Linked DNA regions of Notamacropus eugenii. The protein of the gene in region 1 binds, or shares a complex with, the protein of each later gene. Links are inferred from orthologs where the notes say so. Each region holds a gene or a part of one and is shown in the gene's direction. Other genes may lie near its edges.

Region 1 (6,848 bases):
ATATTACAAGAATTACCAAAATGTGACAGTGACAGGATGTGATAACAGGCTGTTGGAAGAATGGAACCAATTAACTTGGTTGATTCAAGGATGCCACAAACCTTCAATTTGTAACAAAAAAAAAAAAAAGGCAATATCTGCAAACTACAATATAACAAGGTATGCCTGTACCCCATTTCTGGGCTGTGAGCTCCTCTGGGGTTATTTTACAAATATTATATATTATACAAAATATATGCAGCATGTTATTTTATAAAGTGTTCCATGGGTATAGTATTTTATAAGGACCAAGTACTTTAAATTAAGATAGTAGGATGACCGTACAAAAAGAAAATATGTCAATCAAACATATTTATTCATATGAAAACATCCCCTAAAAAAAGTCCAAATCAAGTCTCAAAACACAAGTTTCTATTCTACCAGCTTTAGGATGAGGAATGAAGGATCATGGAAGCTGGGGATATTTTGGGGTTTTCATGAAAATTGGATGTTCTCAAGAGCTCTTGCCTTGAGTTCTCCAAAAAATAGTCTTTTAGGTAGGTGTGGGTTTGGCATTTGGACTACATGGTCAGCCTATCAGAACTCCACTCTCTGTAGCACAGTTTGAATACCTTGACAGAATACACCTTGACAGAAGACCTCAGTGTTCACTACTTTATCCTGCCTGATAATCTTCAGACTCTTCCTAAAACAATTCAAATGTCTAGGCTTCACAGGCATACAACTAGGAAGTCGGTACAACAAGGTCAGAAGAAGTGGTACAAGGACACTCTCAAGGTGCCTCTGAAGAACTTCAGTATTCATAATGAGACGTGGGAGATTCTGGCATAGAACTACCCAGCATGGCATGCCTGAATCAAAGAAGATGCTGTGTTCTATGAAGTAGCACAAAGGAAAATGTAAGATGCACGAATCTAGAGACATCTTCCTACCAAATGTTCAAATGGATTATTTGTACCCAACCTATGGCAGAGCCTTCCAAGCTCATATTGGACTAATCAGCCATAGCTGAACACACTGTACCTTGACCCCAATATCATGGTATCATTAGTTCTCGTCAGAGTATGAAGGACTAAGAACAACAAGATGTTCTCGTAGGCTTACACTATAACTTCAAACAATAACAACAAAAATCATAGACCTTTAGAATGGGAAAGGCCAATCTAGTCCAACCTCTTCATTTTAAAAATAAGCAAAATGAAGCCCAAAGAAGGAAAGAACTTCTCCAAGTCCATAACTGGTGAATAGTCTGGAGTAGAATCTGTCTCTTCTGATTCTCAGTCCAACGTCTTTCCCAAGAAATAATGTTGATGAATAAGTGACAGGAGGCAAATCAGATCTTTAATTCAAATATAAACTGTTCCCATTTCCCACAATGGAATAATGGAATCCTATTTTTTAGTCCTTATTCTCCGAGGTCCTTTTGAGCACTATCTATGATCCCATGATTCTTAAAATGCATCTCCATACGGGTTAGTTAGTTTCTTCTCATAAGATGTACTAAAAAAAAGGTTCCAGCTTAGTATATATGCACCACCACCTTAGTATCCTTTGAAGAGGGCAGCAAACTCTCTTAAAGAGAAGTGTAATTGAATTCTAATTTATAATCTATGAGGACTAGTGGTTTTTTCTGAAGACCAGAACTATACATGTGTACTCACACTTTAAGCAAACATGATGAATAAAGGTCTAAATCTTCACTTTACAAAAGGATTTACCATAGAATTCTTTATTGAATAGCCTTACCTCCCCATTAATGCAATACACTTACATACAACTTGAATAACATACATGTTATACAGCATTTGAGGATGTGAGCCATTTCATAAATAAGATATGCCTGTGCTAGGAAATATTTGCTTTGATGTAGACAGTAGATCTATATCTATCTATCTACTTCAATGGTCCAATGTATCTGAGATCAAATAGATTTAGGAACCCCTCCCTCTGCCAATACAATCCATTCATGACTTCTCACGCTATGTGATTCTTGTCCATGTCCTTTCATAAATCTTCCACAATATCTAAGCCAATATTCTAGAATTCTTCAAGTCCCAAACACAAGTATTTTCTTCTGGGTGCAGACCTTTATTTTGGTTATCAGTGTTTATATTTCCAAAACAGGAGTATCTGCTTTTATTATTGCAATGAAGCCAATGGATTTGTTTTTAGAACCATGATGATGCCCAAAGGTTCTAGGCAAGGTTTCCACTAATTTATACTCCCCCTGAAACCTTTCCTGATGGTTTAGTTCTCCAAGAGAAATTTGTCTCTTCTGGAGAGGCTATCTCTTTGAACTAATTATTAAAAGCAGTTTTACATGTAGAATGAGCTTCTTCAGAAAACAAGCCCAGTTATTTTGGAGAATATTCACGTTTGTACAACATTGGCTCAATTAACTATTCTGATGGATTGGCCTATTATTCAATCTCTATCAGGTGAGAAAAATGAAAGGAAGAAAGAGTTGATTAAAGGAGGAAGCCATTACAAGGAGAGTAGCTTTTTTCTTCACTAAGAATCTACATCAAAAAACCTCCTTTTGGGGGGAAGACTTAAGTTCCCTGAATTTTTCTAAATTAAATCCACTCCACCCAAACCAAATGGTTAAATCAAAAGGGGTCATTTTTAAAGTCATTAAAATATTTTCTGGGTATGTAGCATTAAGTTAGACTAGAAATTCCTTGAGGGCAGGAATTCTGTATTATTCAAATCTTGTACTATTCCAAGTGTAATATATATATATATATATATATATATATATATATATTAGCATTAATAAATGTTTGTTGATGTTCTCAATGTCTTATGCGGAAGAATGTCTTTACCTTCTTAGCAACTTGTAATGGAAAGAAGTCTGGACTGGGAGCCAGGAGAACCTGGGTTCCAGAGTCTGCTCTGCCACAGAACTCCAGCAAGTCTCTTCTTTCTAGACCTCAGTTTTCCCATCAGTAAGAAATGAGCTGAAATCTATGATCCAAGATCCCTTCTCCTTCTGACAATTCAAGCCTTACTTACCCACTCTGGACCTAACTTTCCTTCTAAAGGCTTAATTAGATGATCAGAGGTTCCTTCCAGCAAGCAGTGCTGTATGAACTGTAAATCAGAGGGCTTAGGTTTGAATTCCAGCTCTGTGATCCTAAACCGCTTCATCTCTCTGTGCCTCAGTTTCCTCACCTGTAAAATAAGGAGGGAAAGGGATTTGGACTAAATGGTCTCTCGGGTCCCTCTGGACCTGTTTCTTTAACGATAAAACAAGGGGTTGGGACTGGGTGGCACCGGGACTCAGTGTTCTCATCTGTCAAATAAGGATCTTGGTCCCGGAGGTCCCTCCGGGCCTTGGTTTTCTCATCCACAAAACAAGGGACTGGACGCGATGGCCCCGAGGTCCTCGTGGCTCTTGGGCTTCCTTCAGACGGCCCGGAGCCTTCGACTAAAGCCACGTCCTGACCAGAAAATAATGGAAAACTTTCAGCTACTACCCCGCGAAAGAAAGTCGTTTGGGCCCTAAAAAGGGCCTCCATTTGGGGGATGTGGCTGGGCCTCCGCTAGCACATCGACTGCGGACAAGGAGCGGAGGAAGCGAAGGAGAATGCAGAGGAGCCGAGGGGGCAGAGGAGGTGAGAGGAGGGAGGAGGCGCGCACGCCTCGCCAGCCTCCCCCTGCCCCCTCCATCCTCCCGACCCCCTCCCTACACCTTGCTACACTGCCTCTGCGCTGCAGCGCTCCCATTGAGAACGAGGAGAGGGAAGGGCGGGGCGGGGGAGCCGAGGCCGCGCGCGCGCGCCCGCCTGCACCCCAGGCTCCGCCCTCCGTCTTCTCCCGACAACGTCGGGGATGGGGATGGCGAGGAGAGCTCTCCTGAGTCCTCGCGCGCACACGCGCGCGCGCTTTCTCGCTCGCTCGCGCCCCCTCCCCAGGGCCCGGCGAAGCCGCCCGCTCTCGAGTCCCAGGGCGAGCAGGCGCGCGTCCCTGCTGACGTCATTGAGGCCGGCGAGCCTGTGCGGTGTGGGCTAGAACCCCTGGCGCACTCGCGCACTCCGCTCTTTTCCTTCCCTCCCCCCTCCCTCTCATCCCCCCCTCCCTCCCAGGCTCTCTTTCCCCCTTCTTTTTTTTTCCCTCTCCTCTCTTCTCTCTCCTCTCGCTCTCTCTCTCTCTCCATTAGGATCCACTGAACGATGCGATCTCTGGGAGCCAGCGCTGTCGCCGCCGCCACCGCCCGCTAGAAACCTTTCCCCCCCTTCCCCCCTTCCCCACCGCTTGCAAAGCCCCCCAAAGAAGAGGGAAAAGGAAAAAAAAGAAGAAAGAGAAGGGGAGGGGATGCAATACTAATCACCGTCCTAATAATCCTCTCTACCGAAGGATCCACCCGGGCTGCCCCCCCATCCCCATCCCCATCCCCACCCTCCTCCGGCTCCTGGCTCCATCGAGCGCCTCTGCCCTTTATTTTTATTTTTATTTTTAATTTTTTGTAATACTCCTCGGAGTCCGCAGCCTCGCGCTGCCGCCGCTGCTGCTGCCGCCGCCGCTGCTTCCCCCGCCGCCGCCGCTGCTCCGGAGCCCCGGCGGTGGTTGCCTCTTTTCGGATGCGTTGCTCGCCAGCAGCTGGGAGAGACCCGCAACCCTGTCTCTAGAGCTCACCACCCCAGCCCCGACCCCAGCCCCGATTCCAGCCTCCTCCTGCAGGTGACCGGAAAAGGGAGCAGTAGCCTGAAATCCACCTTGCGAATTTTTGGGGGGAGGGGCTGCATTTTTATTGTGTTTGGGAAACTTGATTTCTTTTTAAAAGAAAAAAAATACAAGAAAGAAGGAAAGAAAATTAGCGATTTTTTTTAAAGGACAGAAATAAATATTTCTGGGGGGGTGGGGTGGGGGGTCAAGCCGAGCAGGGGAACCGTGCCAGCCGAGGCGTGCGGGCTGTTTTGGGTGTCACGATGGGATGTACATTGAGCGCAGAGGAGAGAGCCGCCTTGGAGAGGAGCAAAGCGATTGAGAAAAACCTCAAAGAGGATGGCATCAGCGCCGCCAAAGACGTGAAATTACTCTTGCTGGGTAAGAGAGCCTTGGCCACTTCCTCACCCCCACCCCTCTCCGCCAGACCCCCAGAACAGCCAGGCTGCACCCTATTCCAAACAACGCCCCCACCGCCACCTCTGTATTTCACCCCTTTCTTCACCCTTCTCCCTTATTCTGTGTTCAGGAAGACTTGTCCTGAGTCCAGAGAGACCTTTCCCTTCTTAGATTTGCAACAAGATAACCAAGCCATTGCACACACACGAATCTTCTGCCAAAAAAGCTGATCCCCTGCATCCTTCAGTCCAGCTGCTCCCTTCCTCCTCCCAGTGTAATCTCCCAGTTCTTCTAGCCTGACACTGACTAGCTTTTTTCCTTTTTTTTTTTTTGTCTGTCCCTACAGGGGCTGGAGAATCAGGCAAAAGCACCATTGTGAAGCAAATGAAGTAAGTCCCTATTGTATTGGGATTTTAATTTTTTTCCCTTTCTTCCAGCTCTCCTTTAGGCCCCGTTTGTAATTCTTGTCCACAAACACATAACACTTTGACACCCCCTCCATCTCTCTTCCCACCTTAGGTGTTTCTCTTCCCTCCACCCCATCTCCCAGGAGAGATGTTTTTAGGGAGGGGTGAGGAGAAAGGATGATGGTGGGGGCTGTAGTTGTGTGAATGACAATGTCCGCCATATTGATCAGAGCATCATCACTATTGGCAATATTGTGAATGTTATTTCCTACTGGTGGGGTGTTTTTCCCTATCCCCTCCCTCCCCAACCCCATCCTCCACTCTTCTCTCTCCTCCCCTTCTCACAGCTGCACCTGTGGCAGGGATTTATTTCTGGCTTGCCTAGAAGATGGAGGGGAGGGGACCTTGTCTTTTGCTCTGGGTGGAAAATCAAGTGTCTGCTGTTCATGGTTTTGGTGCTGAATTGGAGGTAGTGGGGGTTTCTCTATCTCTAGCCTTCTGTCTCTCTCCCATGGACACATACATTCACATATACTCCCATGGGGTGGGGGGCTCAAGATGAGAGAAGAGGAGTGGGTGGCTTTCCAGGCTGATGTGAATGGCACAGATGTAACCAGGGCAGAGCCATCAAAAAGACCTGTGTCAATTAAGCTTAATGTCAGCTTTCTATCTCTCAGCTCTTTCCTCTCTGCCCCCACCCTCCCTGATGTTTGATCTCTTGACATGGGCTAACTCCATGGCACTTACATTATTTGTTTGCTGAATAAGGTATGTTATATTTAAATCTACCTACAAGGCAGATTTAAAACAAACCTTGCAGCCACCCCAAATCTCCTTCTACTCAAGGGGTCAGTCTTTAATTAGACTAACTGGAATTTTGACTATTGATAGAAATGTTTTCTTTTATTGATATTATTTTTAAGTGAAAGAAAATCTTATAATCTCCATAAAAGTCTCACCCTCTTTCTGAATATACACATTTTATTGTTCCTTGTTCTTGATACCCAACGTTTCTTGGGGAGTTCTAAGGCAGGTTTGTTTTAGATTTGGGGGAGGGGACTTAGAAGGTGTAGGTGCAGGGATTTTTGTGCTCCATTCTCCACCACCGATCTTGTGTCTTTGCTACTTCCGTTATCCTCCCCATTTGGAGTTCGTTTGAGACCGTTTAGTGAGGCTTCCACGTCGGTTTGCTGTGACACCTTTACATATACACAAGGTTCCTAATTAGGGGTTGCTATGCAGTAAACAAAAATGATTATTTTTCAACTTGACAGAATAGCTGAAGTAATTGCATCCCGCAGGAAAACAATGGAAAATAAAAATCTCTTTCTTGGGGAGGTGGGTGAGGGAGGAAGCCTGTTTGCGATTTCAGAA
Region 2 (7,258 bases), on another chromosome or scaffold:
ATAAGACTAACTATATTTCCCTCCATCCTATCCTGTCCCCCATTACTTCTATTCTCTTTTGATCCTGTCCCTCCCCATGAGTGTCGACCTCAAATTGCTCCCTCCTCCCCATGTCCTCCCTTCCATCATCCCCCCCACCCTGCTTATCCCCTTATCCCCCACTCTCCTGTATTGTAAGATAGGTTTTCATACCAAAATGAGTGTGCATTTTATTCCTTCCTTTAGTGGAATGTGATGAGAGTAAGCTTCATGTTTTTCTCTCACCTCCCCTCTTTATCCCTCCACTAATAAGTCTTTTGCTTGCCTCTTTTATGAGAGATAATTTGCCCCATTCCATTTCTCCCTTTCTCCTCCCAATATATTTCTCTCTCATTGCTTGATTTCATTTTTTTAAGATATGATCCCATCCTCTTCAATTCACTCTGTGCACTCTGTCTCTATGTGTGTGTGCGTGTATGCATGTGTGTGTGTGTAATCCCACCCAGTACCCAGATACTGAAAAGTTTCAAGAGTTACAAATATTGTCTTTCCATGTAGGAATATAAACAGTTCAACTTTAGTAAGTCCCTTATGACTTCTCTTTGCTGTTCACGTTTTCATGCTTCTCTTCATTCTTGTGTTTGAAAGTCAAATTTTCTTTTCAGCTCTGGTCTTTTTATCAAGAATGCTTGAAAGTCCTCTATTTCATTGAAAGACCAATTTTCCCCCTGAAGTATTATACTCAGTTTTGCTGGGTAGGTGATTCTTGGTTTTAGTCCTAGTTCCTTTGACTTCTGGAATATCCTATTCCATGCCCTTCGATCCCTTAATGTAGAAGCTGCTAGATCTTGTGTTATCCTGATTGTATTTCCACAATACTTGAATTGCTTCTTTCTAACTGCTTGCAATATTTTCTCCTTGACGAAAGCTACACTTTCAAAGAAGAGTAATGCACCAAAGTGAAATACCAAATGTTGGATAATTATTACTTCAACTCAATAGCATTCCTCCTAGACCCCCTTCTTAGAGATTTTCACTTTGCTTCTTTTCAAAGCTTGACATTTCTTAATCACCTAGCTGAATGACCAGCATCACAAAAGATTTTGTGCAGATATTAAATTTTTTTTTAAAGAAATCATTACTTAGAAGATCAGGTATGACAATTTGCTGGTCCTTAGCAATGCTTTGGGAATACTGCTAACTCAAATAGGTTACTCAATAGATATTAATGCAGAGTGTATGGCTTTTTAACTACTTATTTGAACAGGGAAGGAAAAGAATGTAACCTTACTGATTTCAGACACCTATGAATTAAAATCTAATAGATCTCTATATATCTTCTCTAAAGTTTTGTTAGGATAGAATACATAGAGATCTATCTAATTTTAATAATCCTAATTACTATAGAACATGGTCACATGGCCATATTCTACAGCAATTAAATTTTTTTAGTATAATAACTTTTGCTGTCTTACTGTGCTATAGGAGTCATTCAATAACTAGTAATTAAAAATAACAAATGAGTATTTGAGAAAGAAAATAAGAATAAGCCTGTTAAAAGCACAAAATTTGAACTAGCAGAGCTTCTGGGCTAGTTAAACATTTTAGAAGGACAAAGAAGTTGCTCATACATGATATCAAATATTGAGATATAGTCAGTTCTCCGGATGTTTCTAAATATCGGATGGTTTGGTATCTTATAGAACAAAAAAAGGGAAAAAATGTTAAGGATCTGTTAAACATAGGTTGTAGTACAATAGTAGGACTACTGGATTTTGGAGCTACAAGATCTAAGTTTACATTTTAGTTCTGCTACTTACTCCCTGTGTGACTGTGGACAAGTTGCTTAATATCTTTTGGGCTCAGTTTGTCATCTGTAAAATGTCAGAACAGATAGAGTGTCCGGCTTGGAGTCAGGAAGTCCTGAGTTCATATGGGCCTCTGACACTTATTAGCTGTGAGACCCAGGGCAAATAAACTGTTTACCTCAGTTTCCTCATCAGTAAAATGGGGATAATAATAGAACCTACCTTACAGGATTGTTATGAGGATCAAATTGTAACTTGCTTAGCTCTATGCCTGGCTCATAGTAAGTTCTACATAAATGTTAGCTATTATTACTAAAATAAAGTTGATTAGGTGGCCTCTAAGGCCCTTTCTAGCTCTATTAGAAATCATTTTGAAAGTTATCATTTATAGAAGCTATACTTTGTAATCAATCAAAGTTTGCTATAGAATCAGTGAAAGACAAGCTTTAGTAGGTCCTTCATTACTTAGTCATTTCAGAGGTATCTGACTCTTCATTACCCCTTTTTGGGGTTTTCTTGGCAGAGATATTGGAGTGGTTTGCCATTTTCTTCTCCAACTCATTTTATAGATGAGGAATTTGAGGCAAACACAGTTAAGTGAACAACTAGTAAGTGTATGTGGCCAGATTTAAACTCATAAAGAGGACTCTTCCTGATTCTAAGCCTATTGCTAAGTCCATGGCACCACCTCACTGCCCAAGCAAGTCCCAACAAGTTGTAAGTACATCAGATGCAGTTACATAGGGGTTGAGAGTCTGATCAGTAGAAGATCAATCACCAAGTGAATCAATTTTTGGCCATGACAATTCTCTTAAGATTGTCTATTAAGGCATGGGAGAGGGGAGATTTTAGAGATAAGGGTAGAAAGATGGGGGAAGCTGGGAAGTTTGTAGTGTGAATTCATATTGTTTAATGCATATATTTGAAGGCACTAAAGAAGTTACTTTGTGTGTCAATTCTGCAAGAAAGTACATTAGTTCATTTAAAAATATTTGCCCAAAATTTAGTGACTATATAGAAGATGATCGTAAGCTTTTGCATGTCTTATTATCCATTAATTTAAAACATTTTGGTAAGGATGGTGATTAAGCAGTGAGATTAGTATAAAATGTGTTATTTGAGGATTAGCTGAAAGAACTAAGTATATTTATCCCGAAGAGAAGATTTAAGAGGAATATGAAAGTTGTCTTTAAATAATTGAATGGTTTCCAAATGGAAAAGTGGCAAGACCCTGCTTATGCCATTCCTCTGAGATAATTCTAAATCTTTCCAATATATAGCTTGTTTTTACATAGTTTGCATAATGTTTCACCTATTAGGGAACCCCTTGAGAGAAGCAACGAGTTTTGTCTGTTTATTTTTTGCTTTTGCCTTTGTATCTCCAGTGCTTCCTGAGCTCAGTGCCTGGCACAAAACAGGTACTTAATAAATCCTTGTTGACTTGACTTGACAAGTGGGTAGAAGCTGCAAGGAAGCAGATTTTGACTTTCATAAGGAAGATCTCCCTATAATTAGAGCTGTCCAAAATGTAATTCCAGGCCTTGGAAGTTTCTGAATTCCTTGAAACTGAACTTCTTTAAATGGGGAACCTTCTGTTAGGCTTGTCATAGCTGGCATATGTACTTCAGATATAGATTGTAACTAGATGAACTCTAGTCTAATACAATTCTAATATTGTCACTTTGGAGATATAGGCTTAAATTACATTTTAGTTAAAATTTCATATGTGAGATATAGTAAGCCTTGTATTTTTAAAATGTAGTACTGTAATAAAATCAAATATAGTATAATATTTGAAAATAAAACAATGAATATAGTCATGCAAATTCACTCATACCCACGTGCTGAGGTTTAGTAGAAAGCAGTATATGCTAAAGAAAATCAGGAAGGAGTCCTGAGAAGAATTCAATATTTTGCTTTTTTCCTTTCAGATTTTTGTTTTGTTTTTTTTTAAAATCGAAGGGCATTTGTGAATATGTTTTAACAGTCAATTAAGGAGTTATCTTGTCTATGAAGTAGTAAGGCATGAATACCGGGGTGGGAGTGGGAGGAATCAGTTCAAATTTTCTGGCAATGGAAGAAATTTCACGGGCAAAGTTTTTTTTTTTTTTTTTAACAGAAGAGACAGGGTGATGTAAATGAGAAAAGTATAGAGACTATAAATTAGTAGACCTAGGTTCCACTCCGAGGATTGTCACTAAATAATAATCTGCATTTGCACGGTACCATAAGGTTTGCAAATTGATTCTTTAAGTACATTATCTCATTAGAGCCTCTCAGTAACTAAGTGAGGTCAGTGCCTCAGGTGTTATCCTCATTTTACAGACGAAATTGAAGCTGAGAACCCAAAAGAAAAAAGGGCAGCCGTGAGAAAGGAGAGAGGGAGCCTAGGACTCCGCTGGTGCTATTTGCCTTTCATTGGGTGTGGGAGGTATAAAGGGGGAGGGGGGAAGGGAGAGAGGAAGGAAGGAAGGAGGGGAGGGAAAATAGTGGGTTCGTTGGCTGCTTCCTCTGGCTGGAACTGAGACATTCATGTCCCCCACATCACTTGCAGTGGGGAAAGGGGAGTGGAGAGAGTCCATTTTAGCTGACCGTTCACCCTCCTATTAGTCTCTTAAACCAGGAGGGGGAAAAAGAGGGAAAGAGCCCAGTTTGGGGGAGCAGCAAGCTGGAATCTCAGAGAGCTCCCGGGATTCGGGGGCTGCTACTGGGCAGCTCCCAGAGTCGGTGTGCAGCCGCTGCTCAAGCAGCGCCATCTCTCCGCCTGTCCTCCGCCTGCGGCTGCTGCAGCTCCTGAGGGCAAAGCGGGACCGAACAGAAAGAAGCAACAGGTTCACCTTCGCGCAACCTCTATTCAGGGAGAAGAAAAAGACAAAGCTTTGCAGGACCCTGAAAAAAGAATGAGACAGAGCCTGGACCTCAGCTGCAGGACCCGGTAGAGTGGCACGGAGTCACCCGAGGAATTCCTCGCTATCAGATCCCTCCAACTCCACACTAAGTGGCTGCCCGAGCACCAGACAGCGGATAGGATACATCTCAGTCCCTAGAATCCTTCCTCCTCTGCCGGCTTTTTCCACTCTAGTCCACGTCTAGCTTTTGGATCGCTTCAACTCTATTAGGGGCAAAGTTCTTATTTTTAGAAGTGCAGAAACTGTCGCTGCTGCTGTCAGGAGTTCGTCAGTAGGAAAAAATGTCATCCTATTAGCCTGCCTCTGCGTACTCATTCAGTCAGTCGACAAGCATTTCTTAAACTCCTAATATGTGGTTGGCACTGGGCTGATCTCTGGGGAAAGAAAAGAAAGGCAAATACAGCCTAGGTACTACCGTCAGTTCTCTCCACGTTGGAGGGACTCAACCTTCCTAGAAAGAACTTCCTACTGTTTCCGAGGCTTAGCCAAGCCCCTCCACGTCCTTCACCCTCTCCTCCAGCCAAGGTCTCTTCTCCTCGTTTCCAGCCGAGGTGCTCCCTTCTGTTCTCTGGGCTCAAACTTAGACCATGGAGCCCCACCTCGCTATGGAAAATCAGAGTGAAGGAGCTGAGGAGGGCTGGAATGGGACTCAACCGGAGCTGACAGATCGGGATCTCAGACCCCTTTTCGGTCTTGGCATCGAGAATTTCATCACACTGGTGGTGTTCGGGATGATTTTTGCCATGGGAGTGTTGGGCAACACTCTGGTGATCACAGTTTTGGCGCGTAGTAAGCCAGGAAAACCCCGCAGCACCACAAACTTATTCATCCTTAACCTGAGCGTAGCTGACCTGGCATATCTGCTTTTCTGCATTCCTTTCCAGGCCACCGTGTACGCGCTGCCCACCTGGGTACTGGGCGCCTTCATCTGCAAGTTCACCCACTACTTCTTCACCGTGTCCATGCTGGTCAGCATCTTCACCCTCTCTGCCATGTCCGTGGACCGCTACGTTGCTATTGTCCACTCGAGGCGCTCTTCCTCCTTGCGGGTCTCCCGTAACGCTCTGGTGGGCATGGGGGTCATCTGGGCTCTCTCGATCATTATGGCCTCTCCCGTGGCTTACCACCAGCGCCTTTTCCACCGAGAAATCAGCAACCAGACCTTCTGTTGGGAACAGTGGCCCAACAAGCAGCACAAGAAGATCTACGTGGTCTGCACCTTCGTCTTCGGGTACCTGCTCCCCTTGCTGCTGATCTCCTTCTGCTACGCTAAGGTGGGAGGTGGAGCGTGGTGGGGCCAGGACCGGAGTGGGGTGAAGGGAAGTACAGGAAAAGAGGGAAGAAGAAGCTGGGGTGGAGGGAGAGGAGACGGTAGGAAGCTTGACTGGATAGCATGGGTTTGCTTTTATTCTGTGTTCTTTCCCATTATCACTTTGTCCACAGATCCTGTCTCTCATCTCTGTCCTACTTGACCGTTGTTTTCCTTGCCCAAGAATTCTCTAAGCTAGAGGTACCACCTTTGTATGAGCTTTGATGAATATTTTAGTACTTAAATCTTAGCCTAGACTGAGGAAACTATACCAGAGTCCTCCTACAAAAGTTTGCTTTCTGCTGCTGCAAAGGTTTCTATTCTATAAAACCTTTCATTGCTTTGATAAGTGAGCGGTGCAAGAGTCCCAAACGTGCTCAATATGCAGATCTCTCCTCTCCTTCCCTCACTCAAAACTCCTTCGCGTTTTGTAATGCTTTAAAACGTTCTTTCCCCTAGTTTCAGTGTCTGATTATCACTAGCTTCACTTTGGGGGAACGTGTGTGGTGTGAGATACACATCAAACAAGCTGGAGAGCTGAAAACTATTTTCCATCAAATGCAAACACAGAGCGTCGGAAACGTTAAAACTGCTTGCTGCAGAGATTTTTGAAGGCAGGATCGACATTTTTTTTTCGTATTTCTTTGTTTTGTTTCTTTTGCAGTCCCAGAGCAAAAGCCCAATTAGTGTTTCCATCATGAAACAATTGTGCTGTTGACAGACAACGGCATAATCAAAACAAGTGGTAGGACGGAGACTGATCTCTGTTAACCGTATTGAAACGACAAGAATGTCTCTTGAGTCACCGGAAAATCCTGTCTTGCCTTGCTTGCTCCCTCACTGAGAGGATTCAGTGACAAAAGAATTCGGCCCCTGTTGGGGTCTATAGAAAGGGTGCATAATTGTATTGGTCGCCAGCCCACCATCTTCTGCTGTGGGAACTGGATTCAGATTCCATCGGGCTTCTAGATTGAAAGAAGCCAAGGGGGACTTAGGAGAGTTTATAGGCTTTATTTCGTTCACAGATTGAGAATGAGAACCAAGGAGGTAAAGTGTTTCTTTTCAGAACTCTAAACGGAGTCAGAGATTCCAGAGAACTGTCTTCTGCCCTCTAAGGGTCATTCCAACTCTCAATCACACTGTAATCCTACTGGTGAACTACTTATGGACTCTTCCTTTGCTGTCCAGTAATCCATACTCTGAGCACCCAACCACCTAAAAGGCCTGGCTAGGAGAAGAGTACAGATTTGAGA
Region 3 (7,931 bases), about 27 Mb from region 1:
CCAAGGATTAGCAGAGAGGGCCAAGGATATATGCACACTTGCAGGAGTTGAAGTCATGTTTAGAAGTAAGATTCAATTAAATTAGATTAGACAGACATTGATTTAGTACTTATTTTGCACAAGGCATTGTACATGCCTTGTACATGAGGACATAAAAGTTAAAAGTGGCACAATCTCTGCCCATGAGAGTGCATTGTCTTCTTGGGGCCTGAGGGTGGGGGAGGAGGTATGTGCCTAAATACATTTACCCATTCAACAAATATTAATCAAATGCTCATTACATGCAAGACTCAATGATAATCAGGAAAAGATAAATTTTTAAGTAGCATGGTTCCTGCCATCAAGTTGCTCACAGTCTTCTAGGAGGATATCGTATGGAAAAGAAGTATAATACAAGGTAGAATGTGATAGAGACAAAGGAAAGATCCAGACAAAGTGGTCTGTAAAAATTTGAGGAGGAAATTCTAATGTGACAAATGCTTAGGAGAGGTCAAACAGAGAGGAAGGCAACACTGGGAAGGGGTAGATCATTACTAGGGCAGCTAGGTGCCACAGAGGATAGAGTGCCAAGTTTGGAGTCAGGAAAAGTCATCTTCCTGAGTTCAACTCTGGTCTCAGATGCTTACTAGCTGTATGACCTAGGTCAAATCATTTAAGCTTGTTTGACTCAGTTTCTTCATCTCTCAAATGAGCTGGAGAAGGAAATGGATAACCACTCCAGTATCTTTGCCAACAAAACCCCAAGTAGGATCATGAAGAGTCAAGACACAACTGAAAATGACTGAACAACAAGACCATTCCTGTCCGAGAACTTGGAGAAATGATCATGGAGTTGGAGGCACCTGAGTTGGGGCCTGGAAAGAAGAAAGGGGTTGCAATAGGTACTCAAAGAGGGAGAAGGGGAGTCCATTACTGCCATGGGAAATAGCTTGAGTTTATGAATTGAGTGGGGAGACGGTATGAAAGAGGGGAAATGGGGGAAGACATTGGAGTAGTCAGATAATTGAAAAAAACAGATTGAGTGAAGGAGTAATGTGAAATAAGACTGTAAATCCCCTCTACCCCCATTTCAAATCTATTTCCCCCCTCCTCTGGCTTCTGACCACATATAATCAAAATCATGCAAGTGAACACTGTCTTTTGTGATCTCTCATTTTGTAACAGTGCATAGCCCTGTTCCAGGTTCTATAGGGGAATAGCTAGAGGACACAATTCTTGCTCACAAGGAGTTTACAACCTTGTTGGGAGACAAAAATGACATAGAATTGGATTTGGAGTCAGAGGACCTAGGTTCAACTTCTCTAGCCCTGCAGTTTACTAGCTTTGTGAGATTGGATAAGTCAGTTAAATTCTTAGTTCTTCAATTTCCTTAATTGCAGAATGAGTGCATTAGACAACATGACTATCTAAGGTCTTTTTAGGATGGCCAAGTGGAAAGAGTTCTGGGTTTGGAGACAGTAAGGTTTCAAATCCAAGTTCTGCTGCTTACTACTTTTTGATGAGATTTTGTGTAAAAATGCCTTGTGTTTCTGATAAGAATTAAAAGATCAGCACTATCACCTCCCCAACCCCAGTCCAGAGCATGGGTTGTGAGAATTAAGTACTGATTGCCCAACAAGGGGAAGAAAGGTGGAGATAAAGGATGGAGGGGTCCAGAGTTAAGGTCTTATCTCCCCCTTCCCAAAAGGATAAGGGGATGATCTACTAGAATGGCAAACCAAATATCCACATATTCTGCTTACCAGGGCCCCACAGAAGAGGTGCAGGCTTCAGAGAAGGGTGAAAGTCAGACACAGGAAACCTTTCCCAACTCAGAGAACCAAATCGACTATCCCAGAGACCCAAAGAACAATTCTGTTGTCTAAAGCAGGCTGTGAGAGCCTTTAGAAAGCTGTGGAATTGTTCACTCCTCCTGAGGCAAATTGTCCCTCTTCCCCTGCCTGCTGCCCTTGTTCCTAGGCTTGCCTCCAGATGCTTCTCCAGTTCATCCTTCACCCAGCCCTCTATTCTACTCTCTAACCCTTAGTCCTCACCACCACTACCTTCAGTGACTTCTCAAAGCTATGCCTTCAATACAGTCTTGTCAAAGAAGAAGTCAGATTGTTCAAGGAGTGGAGATGGAGGGAGCTCAGAGAAGAGGGGAAAGAAGAATGAGAGAAAAGCAAAAGCTAAATTTTTCCCCTTTATAAACACAGATCACATATGGTTAGGAGTAGGGTGGGAAGCCACATATTAAGTACTGATCTTTCTAGAAGTCAGTCTGCTTACCTATCCATTTTGTGTGCATTGGTCAGTCTCTTGTGTATTTCTGTTTTTAAGTGTGCACATGCTTGTCTTTATGTGTGTCTCTGGCTTGTATATGGTTCAAAGTTCTCTCTCTCTCTCTCTCTCTCTCTCTCTCCCCACACACTCTTACATTTTCTTCTCCCTCCATATTTTTTCTAGGACTGGGTGTGTTTCCTCATTTTTGCACTGGAGGGCTGGCTCCCTATCACTGTGGTTAATCCTGAAGCCTGAGGTTGACTAGCTCACAGTGACCTCACCTGTCGGTATCCAGCAATGACCTCAGGTCTTTCTCTGTGTAGTTGCCTATCCTGAAGGAAGCAGTGGGGTGTGAAGAGCAGGCTCAAAGAATTGGGGAAGTATCAGGGCCAGGCCCTGTCTCTGTGTAAGGGAGAACAGCCAAAGATCCGGGTCATTATAGGAGCAGCTTAGGTGGGCCAATAGCTGTGTAGGAGGGGATGAGGGTGGGGAGGGAGACAATGGGTCCCCACTCTTCCACCACTGATCCTATAGTCAAGATCAGCAACTCCTTCCTCATACTCAAATTTGGTTTCTCTCCAATGGTGAGAGGAGGGAAGCAAGGAGCAAGAGCATGATAGAATGGTAAAGCTTGGAAGAGATTATCTTTCCAATTGCTCAATCTTGTACACAAGGAAACTGAGTTCCAGAAGAAGTTACTCCCTTTTACACCCCCAGGTCCTACTGCAGAGAGGAACAAGAAGCTCCCTTTCATTCCTAGACTCCTTATGGGAGCCTGAGGAGGTTTTCCTGTCAGAGTTGGGGGTGAGAAACAGGCAGGTATGAGTTTGAGGACTTTGTAGGGCTAGAAGGTCCAGAGCCTTTGGAGAAGGAAGCACTGGACAGTAAAAACAGAGGAGCAGGCTGTCCCGAGTCTGCTAGGGAGAATCAGAGCTCTCCGTGAGGGTGTCTTCGCAATAGCCAGACCTTCGATCCTAAGGCAAGGATTAACTTACTTTGCTGCACTCGTGGTAGTAATTCTCCCCTCAGAAATGAAAACACTGAAAAAAATCTTTCCTATTTTAAATATCTCATGTCTTCTTTATTCTTCTACTGCCTTCTATTCTACCCGGCAACCACTACTGATTTCCTCATACCCCTATCCCCCACCAAAAATAAAAAATAAAAAAGAGAAGTGAATCCTCTGTTCACCTTCTCCAACTTCAAATGCAGCTGTTGGAGTCACAGCTGGATCCCATCTGCTGAGTGTACGTGAGTGAAATAGGAGACACAGGAGAGGACACAGGATAAGCTGGGGCTCCCGGACCTCCTTCGAAGGCTGTCTGGGGATCAGGTTGTGGAGTGAGGGGGAAGTTAGAATGGAAGATGGGAGAAGAGACAATGACTGACCCGCCTCCCCCAAATACACACAGTCGGTGGAAGGTAGGAGTGAGAGAAGGACTGGGGGAGGAACATAGCCTGACGCGAAGCCTCAGTGTACTCTCATTGCGTGACGGTGGGGCTGGTGCACCCGTAGTCACAGAACCACGGACCCTAGGGGAGAGGCCTAGGGTTTCCGTCCTGGCACTCAGACAGAGGGAGAACTTGAGGAGGGGGTACACATATGGTCCCCACAGGCATTCTCCGACAGAGTATTACTCTGAATCCCTGCAAACCGAGCCCAGTTGAGTCTTCCTGGGGTCCTGAGTCTTGGAAGGCAGCTACTACCCTAAGTCCAACTAGGACTGTGGGGAGCTGTCCAGGGTTCCCAGACCTCTCCGCTCCTCCCTATTCTCTCTGGCTGGTTCTGCTTATTGGGTGGGGCGAAGAGAGGAGAGCCAGGCGGGCGGCGTGCCTGAGCAGCGCGCCGCAGCCAATGGAAGAGGCTGCTGGGACGAGTTGGGGGTGGGGGGTTGGGGTGAGCTTGCGGGCTTGGGAGCAGGCTGAGAGCGCACTCTTGCTCCGCGCTCCGCCCGAGCGCACTGGCTGCCGGCGAGGGGAGCGCTCAACCCAGTTCCAGGGCAGGTAGTAAGGGGCGCTCAGCCTGGCGCGGGTATAGGAAGTAAGGAGGGTTTTCAGCACGGTGCACCAGCAGGCAGTGAGTGCAGCTCAGGTCGGTGCCTCCGAACACTGTAAAAGGGGAGCTCAGACCCGTGCACCTGCAGACAGTGACCGGGAACATAGCACGGTGCAGCAGCAGACAGTAAGAGGGGCTCTCAGATTGATGCACGAGCAGTGAGGGGGGCCCTCAGTTCTTTGCACCCTCAGACAGAGAAGAGTGTTCAGCCTCGTGCAGTGGCAGACTGTAAGGGGCGGGGAAGCTCAGCCTTATATACTCTCAGACAATGAGGGGGGGCCCTCAGCACCGTGCACACGCAGACGGTAAGGAGAATGCTCAGCTTGATGCACATGCAGACAGTCGAGGGGGCTCTTAGCCTAGTGCAAGAATACGCAGTGAAAGAGTGCTCAGCCTGGTACACAACAGGCTGTGAAGGGTCTCTTCCCTAGTTGCTCTGCCAAACCGTGAGGGGGGAGGGGTACTTCTCTAGGCTTAGGGACCAGCAGTTAGTGGGGGAGGGGAGGAAGCGTGCAGCTCCGGGTATACGATCACTCTCTCCAACCCTGCTCTGGCCACTTGGAGTGCCTGGCACACTCAGGTTCCCTTCCCCCTCCCTCTCTCGCTCTAGATTGCTGAGCCTTCCTGACCCTCTCTGGCCCACCTCTGCCAGAGGCTGCGGAGCCAGACGAGGCGGGGCTGCGGACACCAAGTGGCGGGAGGCGGAGCCCGAATCTTAGCCCTTAGCAGCCCAAAGAGGGTGTAGCATCGCCAAGACACCGCGCCTTGGAGACACCTGTTGCCAACACCCTCCACCCCGTTTGGGCCGCGTTCAGTGGACTGGCCCATACCCTAGAGGTGTGTAGGTTCTGTTCCTTCGAGGCCGGGCCTCCCTCTGCCCGGTGGGGCTGGGGTGCATGAGGTGGCGCTCTCTCGGCTTGCCATGGAACGCGCCCTGCCCGACGGGGCCCTCAATGTGTCTTGGGGACCGAGTGCTGGAGAGGCTGCAGCCCCCGGCTTCTCTGCCGCCTGGACCGTGGTCTTGGCTGTGCTGATGGCGCTGCTGATCGTGGCAACCGTGGTGGGCAACGCTCTGGTCATGCTGGCCTTCGTGGTGGACTCCAGCCTCCGCACGCAGAACAACTTCTTCCTTCTCAATTTGGCCATCTCTGATTTCCTAGTAGGTAAAGTACACCCACCCTGGGGTAGGGGGAGTGGGGCAAGTGACCCACCGGCGGCAGCTGAAGACCTCAGGGGGAGCGGGCTTCTTCGAGCTGAGGCTGCTGTGGGAAGGGTGTGAGACGCTGGGTGCAGGGCTCGGGCTATGTGTGTGGCCTTGGACCCTGGTGCAAGAAGAAGGTTAGGGGTAGCATTGAGGCTGGGGCCTCATGGGAGAGAGGTACCAGCGGCAGGTTTATAGGACCCTTGGGAGCAAAGGACATTGGGCAACTGGAGAAAGGGAAACCATAGTAGCTAGGGTCCCTGAGGTAAAACTCACTAAGTCTTCCCGGAGTCCTCTGTGCTGAGTCTTATACACTACCTAGGTGAAATTGAGTAGGACAGTGGAAGAGGAGAAGACCGGGGGTTCTGGAAATTTGGGACAGAAGGGCCTGGATGGGAAGATGTAGGCGGAGGTTCCCCGTGCTGGTTCCTCTTCTTTCCTGCTGGGAGAAAAAGCGAGAAAACTTAAAGGAATTTAGGAATCAGAAACAACAGACTTATGTGGGAGGGAGGACGACTTAGTGCCCCCTCCACTCCAGTAACTAGAGGAACTAAAACAGTGGAATTGTGCTTCAGTTCCCTAGTCATGGGTCGTCCTACCCCGGATCTCTTCCATTTCTTGGGATATAGAATGTGTGTGCTTGTCACTGGGAAAAATATCCCCGACCTTTGCTTCTGAATGGGGGCGGGGCGTGGGAGGGAGGGCTGCATAGATGCTTCTCTCACCTTTCCTCCTCTTGAAGTTGCCCGAAAATTGGGGTCGGGGTCGAGGGTGCCGTACTAACATTTCTCTGCTCCTACAGAGGAGGAAGTGATGGGGAGGGAGAGGCTTTGAGCTCCAAGGCCCGAGGCAAGGAAGGGGGGGAAGGGATACAGTAGCAAGTTGTGTAATGTTTGACATTTATATAGGCTTAAAAAGGGCTTCATCTTTTGATCCTCGCAATCCTCTGAAGTAGGTAGTATACATTATTATCTTCATATTGCAGAGGGGGAATCTGAAACTTGAAAAGATGAAGTGACTTGCCCAAGGTCACCTAACTAGTAAGCAGGAATTAGAACTCCGGTCTCCGGAATTCAAATACAGTGGTTCTCTCCACAGTCATTAGCAGGTGCAAATGCTTTATGTCTCCACCGAAACCAGTGCCCTAGAAAAAAAAAAATTCTTTGTCCACATGTTTTAAAAAACAGAAGGAGGGCACTGTTCTTGATGGTTGGTCCGATTGGGTAAGAAGGGGAAGTGGGGGAAGGGGCAAGTCTCAGAAGAGGAAATCAATGAAAACTTTGCAAAGTAATCAGAGAAAGTGGAGAAAGGGATGCTTCCAGGAGCAGGAGACAGGGGGGAAAGGCATGGAGGTGCCTTTCTGGGAATGGTGAGAAAGAAATATTTGCGACTGGCTGACAGAGGAGACAATTCTCCTCCCCCTGCTGTTCACGGAGACAATGGGTTTAGGGAGAAACTCCAGCTGGTGTAGGAGTCTGAGGAGCTTGAGTCTGTTGCTCCTACTGGCTGGAAGGGAGGGGCTTGCACGGATTAATGTTTGGGGGGAGGAGCAAAGCTTTTCTGTTGAGAGCCCCACTTGCAGGACGGAACTAGATGCATCAAACCTGCCAAGACACTTGGTGTGATCTGAAGGCTGCCACAGCCATATGGTTATCACCTATTGCCATGGGATAAATGTAGCAGGAAAGGGGCCAAGCAACTTAGTGGTGGCTAAATGCCAGCGATGAGGGACTTATAGATTCTCAGCTACTGGAATGGTATTTTTTCCCATTGATACAGCAAGAGGTGGTCATTTTATCCTTTAATTTTCCCTGAGAGGGAAAATGTAGGCTAGAAAGAATTTCTCCTGCTTCCCTCCCTTTTGTATCTTCTCCAACCTCCAGCCAATCTCAAGGACCTGGAAAAACTGAGCTGAACGTACTGTAAAGCAGAATCTACTTCAGCTCTTCAAGGCCTGAAGCTTCAACCCCTCCCCCAGCAGAGGGCAACAACCATTTATCAAACAATCTGGGTCCCTAGTTTGTTCTGGGATTTGGAATTTCCTTTCTGACTTGTTTAGCTGCTAGATGACTGGCTCAAACCTTGTTCCCCTGGCCATTCTGTGGTTGAGTCCTGAATTCAGAGGCCTTTCCTTTATACATTAGTATAAAAATGGAAAAGAGGCTACCAGGTATCAGGCTGAAGAAGTCCTGGGAATCCTGTGGCTGCCTGACCCTGTAGAGTGGCATGAATAAAACTCATATTTTTCATAGCATTTTAAGATTTACAAAGCATTTCCTCCCACAACAACCCTGTGAAATATGGAAAAAATTCCCCATTTTACAAAGGAAAAGACTTGGGCTCAAAGGAGTTAAATCACTGGCCCATGGTCACATAAGGCAATATGCATCATAGCTAAGTTTCAAACCCAAA
Region 4 (7,869 bases), on another chromosome or scaffold:
AGTGGGGAGGAAACCTTGCGGTACAATAAACTGCGGGATATAACTGAGCTCATTTGGCCCAGCCCCATCTCAACTTTTGCAGAAGAAACAGGTCGAATAGTTTACGGAGGTTGCTGTTCAACAAGTGAGACAAGAAACGGGCTCATTTTCTGCCTATGAAGATGGAAGGCTGGGATTGCCTCCAGCTTCCTGGAGGATGAGGAGGCTGGAAGCCCACAGGGAGACTGCCCTTCCCCCCTCCTCACCGAGTACCCTCCTTCCTCCCCCTCCCCCCGCCCTCCTATCTAGACCTGTACTATCACAGGCTCCTCTGGCAAAAGAAGTTAAAGGATACCCGAGGGAAGGGCGCTGCGATTGTTTTAAATGGTAGGGGACGAGAGAAGGGGGTGGCGTTGGGGGCATATTGACTGTCTACCCCTTACCCTCATCTGATGAGAAAAGTCACCCGCGATATGTGACGATTTTGGCTTGAGGAAAATCGCTGAACCTCCCTGGGTCCCAGGGTTGCTCACGAACCACATCACTCACCTCTGGCATGCCCAAATTATGCGTGTGTGCAGTCTCTGGAGGGTCTCTCCCAGCCCCAAGTAGCCATTCCTAACACAGGTGTAAGCACTACATGCCATTGATTACACGCTGGACACCAAGGAAATTGTATTTTTTATTTTTACAATGAACGTTTATTGAATATTCAGTCCTAAAGGAAGTTATTTTTTATTCATCAAATGAAAGAAGCAAAGGCAACTGAATTTTTCTAAGTAACTAAACTTAAAATACAAATTTTAAAAACTGCCTATTTTTTCTAGTGATTCATTTATTTTTAGTTTTCAGCATTCACTTCCACAAGATTTTGAGTTAAAAATTTCCCCCATCTCTCTTCTCTGTCCACTCCAAGACAGCATATATTCTGATTACCCCTTCCCCCAAATTGCCCTTCCTTCTATTACCATCCCCTGCTTCTTTCCTCCCTTTTCCCTCTATTTTCTTGTAGGGCTATACAGATTTCTATATCCCATTGCCTGTATGTCTTATTTCTCAGTTGCATGTAAAAATTTTTAACATTTGTTTTTAAAATTTTCAGTTCCAAATTCTCTCCCTTCTTCCCTCCCTCCCCACCCATCCCCACTGAGAGGGCAAGCAATTCGATATAGGCTATACATGTGTAGTTATTCAAAACACTTCCATAACAGTTGAGAAAGACTGTATTTCCCTCCATCCTATCCTGCCCTCCATTTTTTCTGTTTTCTCCTTTGACACTGTCCCTTTTCAAAAATGTTTGCTTCTGATTATCTCTTCCTTTCATTTGCCCTTCCTTTTATTACTCCCCCTCTCTTATTACCTTTCCCCTTACTTCATTGTAGGGTAAGATGGATTTTCATATCCAATTGAGTGTGTTTGTTATTCCCTCCTTAAGTGAAATCTGATGAGTAAGGTTCACTCATTCCCCTTTTTAAAAGCTTTTTATTGATCTTTTATGTGAGATAATTTCCCCTATTATATTCTATCTCTCCCTTTCTCCTTCTCCCAATATATCCCTCTCTCATTCCTTAATTTTATTTTTTAGATATCATCCCTTCACATTCAACTCACCCTGTTCCCTCTGTCTATATATATGTCTATATATGTATATGTATACATTACATATGTACACATACACAAATATGTACATATATACACATATGCATATGTGTGCATGTGTGTGTATGTGTGTACCCTCCAACCATCCTAATATTGAAAAAAATCTCATGAGTTACAAATATCATCTTTCCATGTAACAATGTAAACAGTTCAACTTCAGTAAGTCCCTTATGATTTCTATTTCCTATCTACCTTTTCATGCTTCTTTTGATTCTTATATTTGAAAGTCAGATTTTTTAATCAGCTCTGGTCTTTTCATCAAGAATGCTTTAAAGTCCTCTATTTCATTGAATATCCATTTTTTCCCCTGAAGTATTATACTCAGTTTTGCTGAGTAGGTGATTCTTGGTTTTAATCCTAGCTCCTTTGACCTCCAGAATATCATATTCCAAGCCCTCCAATCCCTTAATGTAGAAGCTCATGTTATCCTGATTGTTTCCACAATATTGAAATTGTTTCTTTCTGGCTGCTTGCAATATTTTCTCCTTGACCTGGTGTAACAGAAAGCACCCCAACAAACACAGGAGGGCCTGCTATCACAGGTTCTTTGATTTGCTTTTATAAAAGGAAAGTAACTTTTGAGGGGTCAACAACCACTTTAATCAAGCACATGTATCATTCACTTAGTTCAGGGGGGAAAAGCCAACACCCTGAACTTCAGAGAAAATACAGAGAAATCAAAATCAACAGACATGCTTCCAACTGTCTGACATAAGCAATACATACATCATAGATCAACAGACAGATCCAGCTATCTGATTATTACATACATACATAGTTACCAGAGAGAGAAGCACCAATATCTGGGTTTTCAAAGCCAGGGACTCCTTAGCTTCCCAGAGTCTCATCTGGCCACACACACACTTCTAATCAGTAAGCCCCCCAAAAAAACCTCATCTCAGAGTACTTAGTACTCAGAGGACATCACAATCCTAAAGAATTAGTGCCTCATTAACGAAAGGTGTGGACTTTGCTACAAATCTTCCCAGGTCCATTAATGGATGGGGAAAATCTTTCCATTAAGAGGCAAAATTGTATTAACAATAAGCAAAAATGCATTATCAATATACCTGGGAACTCTGGAATTTGGCTACAATATTCCTTAGGAATTTTTCTTTTTGGGATCTCTTTCAGGAGGTGCTTGGTGGATTCTTTCAGTTTCTATTTAACCTTGTGGTTCCAGAATATCAAGGAAATTTTCCTTGATAATTTCTTGAAAGATTATGTCTAGGTTCTTCTTTTGATCATGGCTTTCAGGTAGTCCAATAATTTTAAAATTATTTATCCTGGATCTATTTTCCAAGTCAGTTGTTTTTCCAATGAGATATTTCACATTGTCCTCTATTTTTTCATTCTTTTAATTCTTTGCAATTTCTTGATTTCTCAAAAAATCATTAGCTTCCATTTGCTTCATTCTAATTATTAAGGAATCATTTTCTTCAGTGAACTTTTGGAACTCCTTTTCCATTTGGCCAATTCTGTTTTCTAAGGCATTTTTCTCCTCCTTGGCTTTTTGAACCTCTTTTGCCATCTGGGTTAGTCTATTTTTTAAGTTGTTACTTTCTTCAGCATTTTTAGGGGTCTCCTTTAAAAGCAAACTGTTGACTTGTTTTTCATGATTTTCTTGATTTTTCATCTCATTTTTCTTCCCAATTTTTCCTCTACTTCTCTTACTTGATTTTCAAAATTCTTTTTGAGCTCTTCCATGGCCTGTGACCAATTCATATTTTTCTTAGAGGCTTTGGATGTAGGAGCTTTGACTTCACTGTCTTCTTCTGGTTGTATGTTTTGATCTTCCTTGTCACCAAAGTAAGATTCTATAGTCAGATTTTCCCCCCTCTGTTTGCTCATTTTCCAAGCCAATTACTTGACTTTTTAATCTCTTTGTCAAGGCAGGACTCTGCTTTGGGGTGGTAGTGGTGGTGGTGGTGTACACCAAGTCCCAAGCTTCAGGGGTTTTGTGCAGCTGTTTTCAGAGATAGGGACCTGTAAATTTTCAGCTCTTCCAAGGTGGTGTGATCAAAGGAGAGGTGTTTACTTCTCTTTTGGCTTGTGCTCTGGTCTGTGAGTGACTTCAAGCACTCTTTTCTGCATTGGAACTGTGAGGAGGATTCTCCTCCCCACAGCCACCACAAGGTCTGCCATGCCAGTGCTCCTCCTCACCCCAGGAGCACCACCCAGGATTGTGACCCAGATCAAAGCACAGGCAAAACAAGAGAATCCTTCCTCAGTACCAGCAAAAAAGATCCCTGAAATCCCCTTCTGATCAGTCACTCAATTTCCCCACCATCTGTGAGCCTGAGAGCTCCCAATGCATGCCCTGCTGCTGCTGCTGCCACTGCCATCACCCTGGGGCTGGGACCTGACTACGCTCCTCTCACACAGGTCTGACAGACTTTTCCTACTTACCTTCTAAATTGTCTTTGATGTTGAGAAGTTGTCTTTGGGATTGAGAAATCTGGAAAACGCTGAAGCTGTCAGTGATTCATTCTCCTGAGGCCTGCTCTGGCCTGTCTGTGCTGGTGTGGTCCAAGCTGGACAGTGCTCCTCTCCCAGCCCAATACAATAGACCTTTCCTGTTGACCTTCCAGGTTGTCTTCGGCTGGAGATTTGTTTCACTCTGTCATTTTGTGGCTTCTACTGCTCTAGAATTTATTTGGAGTCATTTTTATAGGTATTTGGAGGAGTTTGGGGGAGAGCTCAAGGAAGTCCCTGCTTTTAATCTGCCATCTTGGCTCTGCCCCAAAATATTACTTATTTTAAAAAAAAGCTATTAGGGGACAGCTGGATCTAGCTGAGATTCCTAGAGAATGGAGATTTTTGTCTCTAAGGCAGATAAAGCTGCACCCATCCCCTCCATGTATAGTTGTCAAGAGAACACTGGCATTTTGATGCCCATTCTCCTTCTTTACAAAGCTCCTTTACCTTTTGTCAGCTTAGCCTACCTCCCACACCCTGGTCCTCCCCTGTTTTTAAAATCTGGTTCACAGCTTCTTGTCTTCCAGAACTCTTCCTAGTTTGACTCTTTAGTTACCACCACTGCCATCCCATGGGGAAGGAGATGTGCCCAGTGGCTCAAGTTCTGGGTCACTGGCAAGGGTCAGCTACACTTCTACTACAACAGCCAGAGAGGGAGCTCTCAGGCTCTTTTGGGTACTGGACATCTGAGATCAGGGGAGCCCTTGGGAGGAGCTAAGCCAGTGTTTCCTCTTCTCCCCCTTTTCTGCCCTCCCTCACTTATAAACCAGAGCAGCTCCAGTTGATAAAAAAGGAAGAGCTGAGCTCAGAGCCACCGTTACTGGACCGAGATGGAGCCAAGTAAGTTTTCCCTTCTCTCTGCTCCTCTGTAATCCCTCCCTTTCTTCAGTCTCCTCCCTGCCTTTGTCACTGTCTTCACTTTTCTCTGTCTTTCAGTTATGTCTCTCACTCTCCCTTTCTGTTTTTCAATACCGCTCTAACCATATCCCTTCGTCTCCTTTCTCTGTCCCTCAGTATCCCCTTTTGTCACTTCAGTTTTCCTGCTCTGTCCCTGTCTCCCCTCTCTCTGTTCAATCCTTCCTTTCTGTCCTCTTTCCCTTCAGTCTCTTCTCTTTGCCCCTTAGTTCCTACTCTCTCTGTCCCTTCAGCCTCCCCATCTCTGTCCCTCAGTCTTCCCTTTATATCTGTCTCTCTCCCATTTCTGTCTCCCTTTATCTATGCCCTTCATTGTCCCCTCTTCCCTCTCTATCTCCTTGTTTCTGTCTCTCATTTCTCTGACCCTCACCTTACTTTTCCCTCTCAGTCTTCCTCTGTTTTAGCCCCTTCATCTCCATCCTCTGGTCCTGTTACCCCTTTCTGTGTTCCTCCCTCCCCCTGTCCCCCTTTTTATCCCCCAGGATCCCTGTGTCTGTCCCTCAGTCTCCTCCCAGCTCCTAGTCTTCCTTCCTTCCTTCCTTGGATGCTTCTATTTCTGCCTGTCAGTCTCACCATGTCTTTGCCCTCCAGTCTCTCCCATGTCATACATTCTCCCCTCCATTTCGGTCATTCCATTTCCATTCTCTTTCTCTGTCTTTCTTGGTTCCTTCTCTCTGCCTCTCTTTTTAAAAACACATTTTAATTTCCACTGACGAGTGTAGATATTCAAATATGGAAACAACAGTATAAGAAGTGAAGAAAAATAGCATGGCTTAGTGGTTAGAGGACCACCTTTGTCGGTGATACCTAGTGGTGTGTGGCCCTGGCAAAGTCCCTTCAGCTCTCAAATCCCCTGGGGTATCCCTCAGATTGGTGTTGCTGAGCTGCCTTGTTGAGGTAAACCTCTTTACCAGAATTTCCTTCCTGGGCTGAATTCATAGGTATGGGCTCCATCCATGACCTAACCCTGATCACTAACCCCGACTACAAAAAAACTAAATTAAATAACACAGCAATAACCTGAAAGACGAAACAGCCCGACAAGATGGTGCTTGGCTGTAGAAAGGGGAAAACGGAGTATAGGGGGCTTTCGAGGCAGGGGGAAGGGGAGGGTGGAAAGAAGGAGATGGTTATGCAAGGAGCTGTAATTTCATCAACCTTCCTGCCTCATATCTCCTTCCTACAAAGAAACTGGTACTGTCTATGACTCGGGGCGGGGGGGGGGGGGGACACCTTTATCCTGCACTTTCACAGCCAGTCAGGCTCAGAAGAGAGGTTCGAACTCAGGTCTTCCTGACTCCAACCCAGTCCAGCCCTTTATCAGATGGCAGGTTTCCTCTGCAAGTTTTCTGCTATTCGCAGTTAGTTAACCCTCCCCCCAAAGATGTGAGTATTGATGTTCACATAGCAGCACCCATATCATCCTTGTTTCCATGTTTTCTGTGTGTGTGTGTGTGTGTGTGTGTGTGTGTGTGTGTGTGTCCCGTTACTGGAACATTATGTACCTGGAGGTGGAGTGTTCTACTTCACCAGGCCACTAGATGGCAGAGTGGATGGAACATTAGGCCTGGTATCTGGAAGAAGACACGGGCTCAAATCCCACCTCAGACCTCTGGGCAAGTCACTTGACCTCAGTTTCCTCAACTGTAAAATAGAAATAACAACAACACCAACCTCCTAGGGTTGTTGTGGGTCTCAAATGAGAGAATATTTGTAAAGCACTTAACACATAGAAGGCTCTATAGGAATGCCAGCTGTGATAATGGTAGCACAATAACATTCCCTTCCTTGAAACATAACATGATCAATTTGGCAATTTTCCATTGATTAGACAAAAGTTGTCTGTAGTTCTTGCTGCAAAGGAATATTTGTGCACAGCTAGGTCTCACTTCTCTTTTCAGTGCCATCATTGGGGTATGTATGGTGCTAGCCATGAAGTTACTTATTGGGTCCAACACACAAAGAGTTCTGTGTTCCTTCCCCCAAGTCAATCAACCAAGATGAACTTATTAAGGAGCTGATGTTGGCTAAGCAAAAACTAAGGTGGAAGCATTTCCTGACCTCGAGAAGCTTATAGTCTGGCCATGCCTAGGTATAGAAGTAAAGTGATTACAAGTTGATTTTTTTTTTTTGGTGCAGATCAGGAAAGAATTCACATGGAAAAGGGAGCTTGAGCTGAGTCTTGAGGGAAGTAGGAGTTTGGAGAGAAATTCTGTCTTCTACAGGAAGCTGTTCCTGACCTCTCTTAATTCCAGTGCTTCTGTTGATTATTTCCTATTTATCCCGTATATAGCTTGCTTTGTGTGTATTTGTCTGCATGTTACTTCCCTCTCCCCCCATCAGATTGTAAGCTGGTTGAGAGCAAGGACGGGGTTTTGCCTCTTTTTATATCCAGAGCATTTAGCGCAGTGCCTTGCACGTAGCAGGAGCTTAATAAATGCTAATTGAGTGAGTGAGTGCATTCCCTGAATGGTGTACAGCCATTGCAAAGGTATAGGGACTGGAGAGGGAGGACAAGTTATAAGGGACAGTAATAGGTCCAACATGGCAGCACATAATGTTTATGGAGGAGAAGAGCAATAAAACAGGAGAGGTGTGTCGGGGATGAGTGGACAAAGGTATTGAAAAATGCCAAACAGAAGAGTAATTTTTGATTCTGGAGGAACTAGGGAGTCACTGAAGTTTTTTGAATGGACTTTGGGGACGGTGACATAGTCAGATCTGTACTGTAGGAAATCACTTTGGTAGCTGAGCAGAGAAGGAATGGGAGAGACTTGGGTCAAGGAGACCTATTTGGGGGTCATTGGTCCAAGGTGTTGGGTGGTGGCTGTATGGGTA

The links.
Region 2: the proteins of GNAO1 (region 1) and GALR1 are in contact, whole or in part, in a cryo-EM structure (PDB 7XJJ), measured with the Homo sapiens proteins. The link is inferred for Notamacropus eugenii from reciprocal best matches to the Homo sapiens genes GNAO1 and GALR1. Residues at the interface, in NP_066268.1 of Homo sapiens: Ser264, Asn316, Glu318, Tyr320, Asp337, Asp341, Ile343, Ile344, Ala345, Asn347, Leu348, Arg349, Gly350, Cys351, Gly352, Leu353, Tyr354; in NP_001471.2 of Homo sapiens: Thr70, Arg133, Ala136, Ile137, Ser140, Arg141, His226, Leu227, Leu231, Asn233, Ser235, Lys236, Lys237, Ser238, Ala240, Ser241, Lys244, Thr245, Thr248, Leu306, Ser307, Glu308, Asn309.
Region 3: the proteins of GNAO1 (region 1) and HRH3 are in contact, whole or in part, in a cryo-EM structure (PDB 8YN7), measured with the Homo sapiens proteins. The link is inferred for Notamacropus eugenii from reciprocal best matches to the Homo sapiens genes GNAO1 and HRH3. Residues at the interface, in NP_066268.1 of Homo sapiens: Ile28, Ala31, Lys32, Asp33, Val34, Lys193, Asn194, Leu195, Asn312, Pro315, Asn316, Lys317, Glu318, Ile319, Tyr320, Phe336, Thr340, Asp341, Ile343, Ile344, Ala345, Asn347, Leu348, Arg349, Gly350, Cys351, Gly352, Leu353, Tyr354; in NP_009163.2 of Homo sapiens: Asn69, Asp131, Arg132, Ser135, Val136, Ala139, Val140, Tyr142, Arg143, Ala144, Gly147, Ile221, Ile225, Arg228, Arg232, Thr345, Phe348, Arg349, Arg352, Val356, Leu360, Cys415, His416, His417.
Region 4: the proteins of GNAO1 (region 1) and C5AR1 are in contact, whole or in part, in a cryo-EM structure (PDB 8JZP), measured with the Homo sapiens proteins. The link is inferred for Notamacropus eugenii from reciprocal best matches to the Homo sapiens genes GNAO1 and C5AR1. Residues at the interface, in NP_066268.1 of Homo sapiens: Ala31, Lys32, Lys193, Asn194, Leu195, Glu318, Tyr320, Phe336, Thr340, Asp341, Ile343, Ile344, Ala345, Asn347, Leu348, Arg349, Gly350, Cys351, Gly352, Leu353, Tyr354; in NP_001727.2 of Homo sapiens: Asn71, Phe75, Arg134, Leu137, Val138, Pro141, Ile142, Gln145, Ile225, Thr229, Arg233, Ala234, Thr235, Arg236, Ser237, Lys239, Thr240, Val243, Val244, Ala303, Gln305, Phe307.

The regions. Positions count from the first base shown.
Region 1 is NC_092872.1:473,622,762-473,629,609, forward strand, and holds the start of GNAO1 (guanine nucleotide-binding protein G(o) subunit alpha), read left to right. Parts: upstream 1-3,835; 5' UTR 3,836-4,931; coding exon 4,932-5,049; intron 5,050-5,413; coding exon 5,414-5,456; intron 5,457-6,848. UniProt on the Homo sapiens protein: Guanine nucleotide-binding proteins (G proteins) function as transducers downstream of G protein-coupled receptors (GPCRs) in numerous signaling cascades.
Region 2 is NC_092875.1:205,221,613-205,228,870, reverse strand, and holds the start of GALR1 (galanin receptor type 1), read left to right. Parts: upstream 1-4,252; 5' UTR 4,253-5,283; coding exon 5,284-5,970; intron 5,971-7,258. UniProt on the Homo sapiens protein: Receptor for the hormone galanin. The activity of this receptor is mediated by G proteins that inhibit adenylate cyclase activity.
Region 3 is NC_092872.1:501,065,762-501,073,692, forward strand, and holds the start of HRH3 (histamine H3 receptor), read left to right. Parts: upstream 1-4,928; 5' UTR 4,929-5,240; coding exon 5,241-5,481; intron 5,482-7,931. UniProt on the Homo sapiens protein: The H3 subclass of histamine receptors could mediate the histamine signals in CNS and peripheral nervous system. Signals through the inhibition of adenylate cyclase and displays high constitutive activity (spontaneous activity in the absence of agonist).
Region 4 is NC_092876.1:29,287,268-29,295,136, forward strand, and holds the start of C5AR1 (C5a anaphylatoxin chemotactic receptor 1), read left to right. Parts: upstream 1-4,858; 5' UTR 4,859-4,946; coding exon 4,947-4,956; intron 4,957-7,869.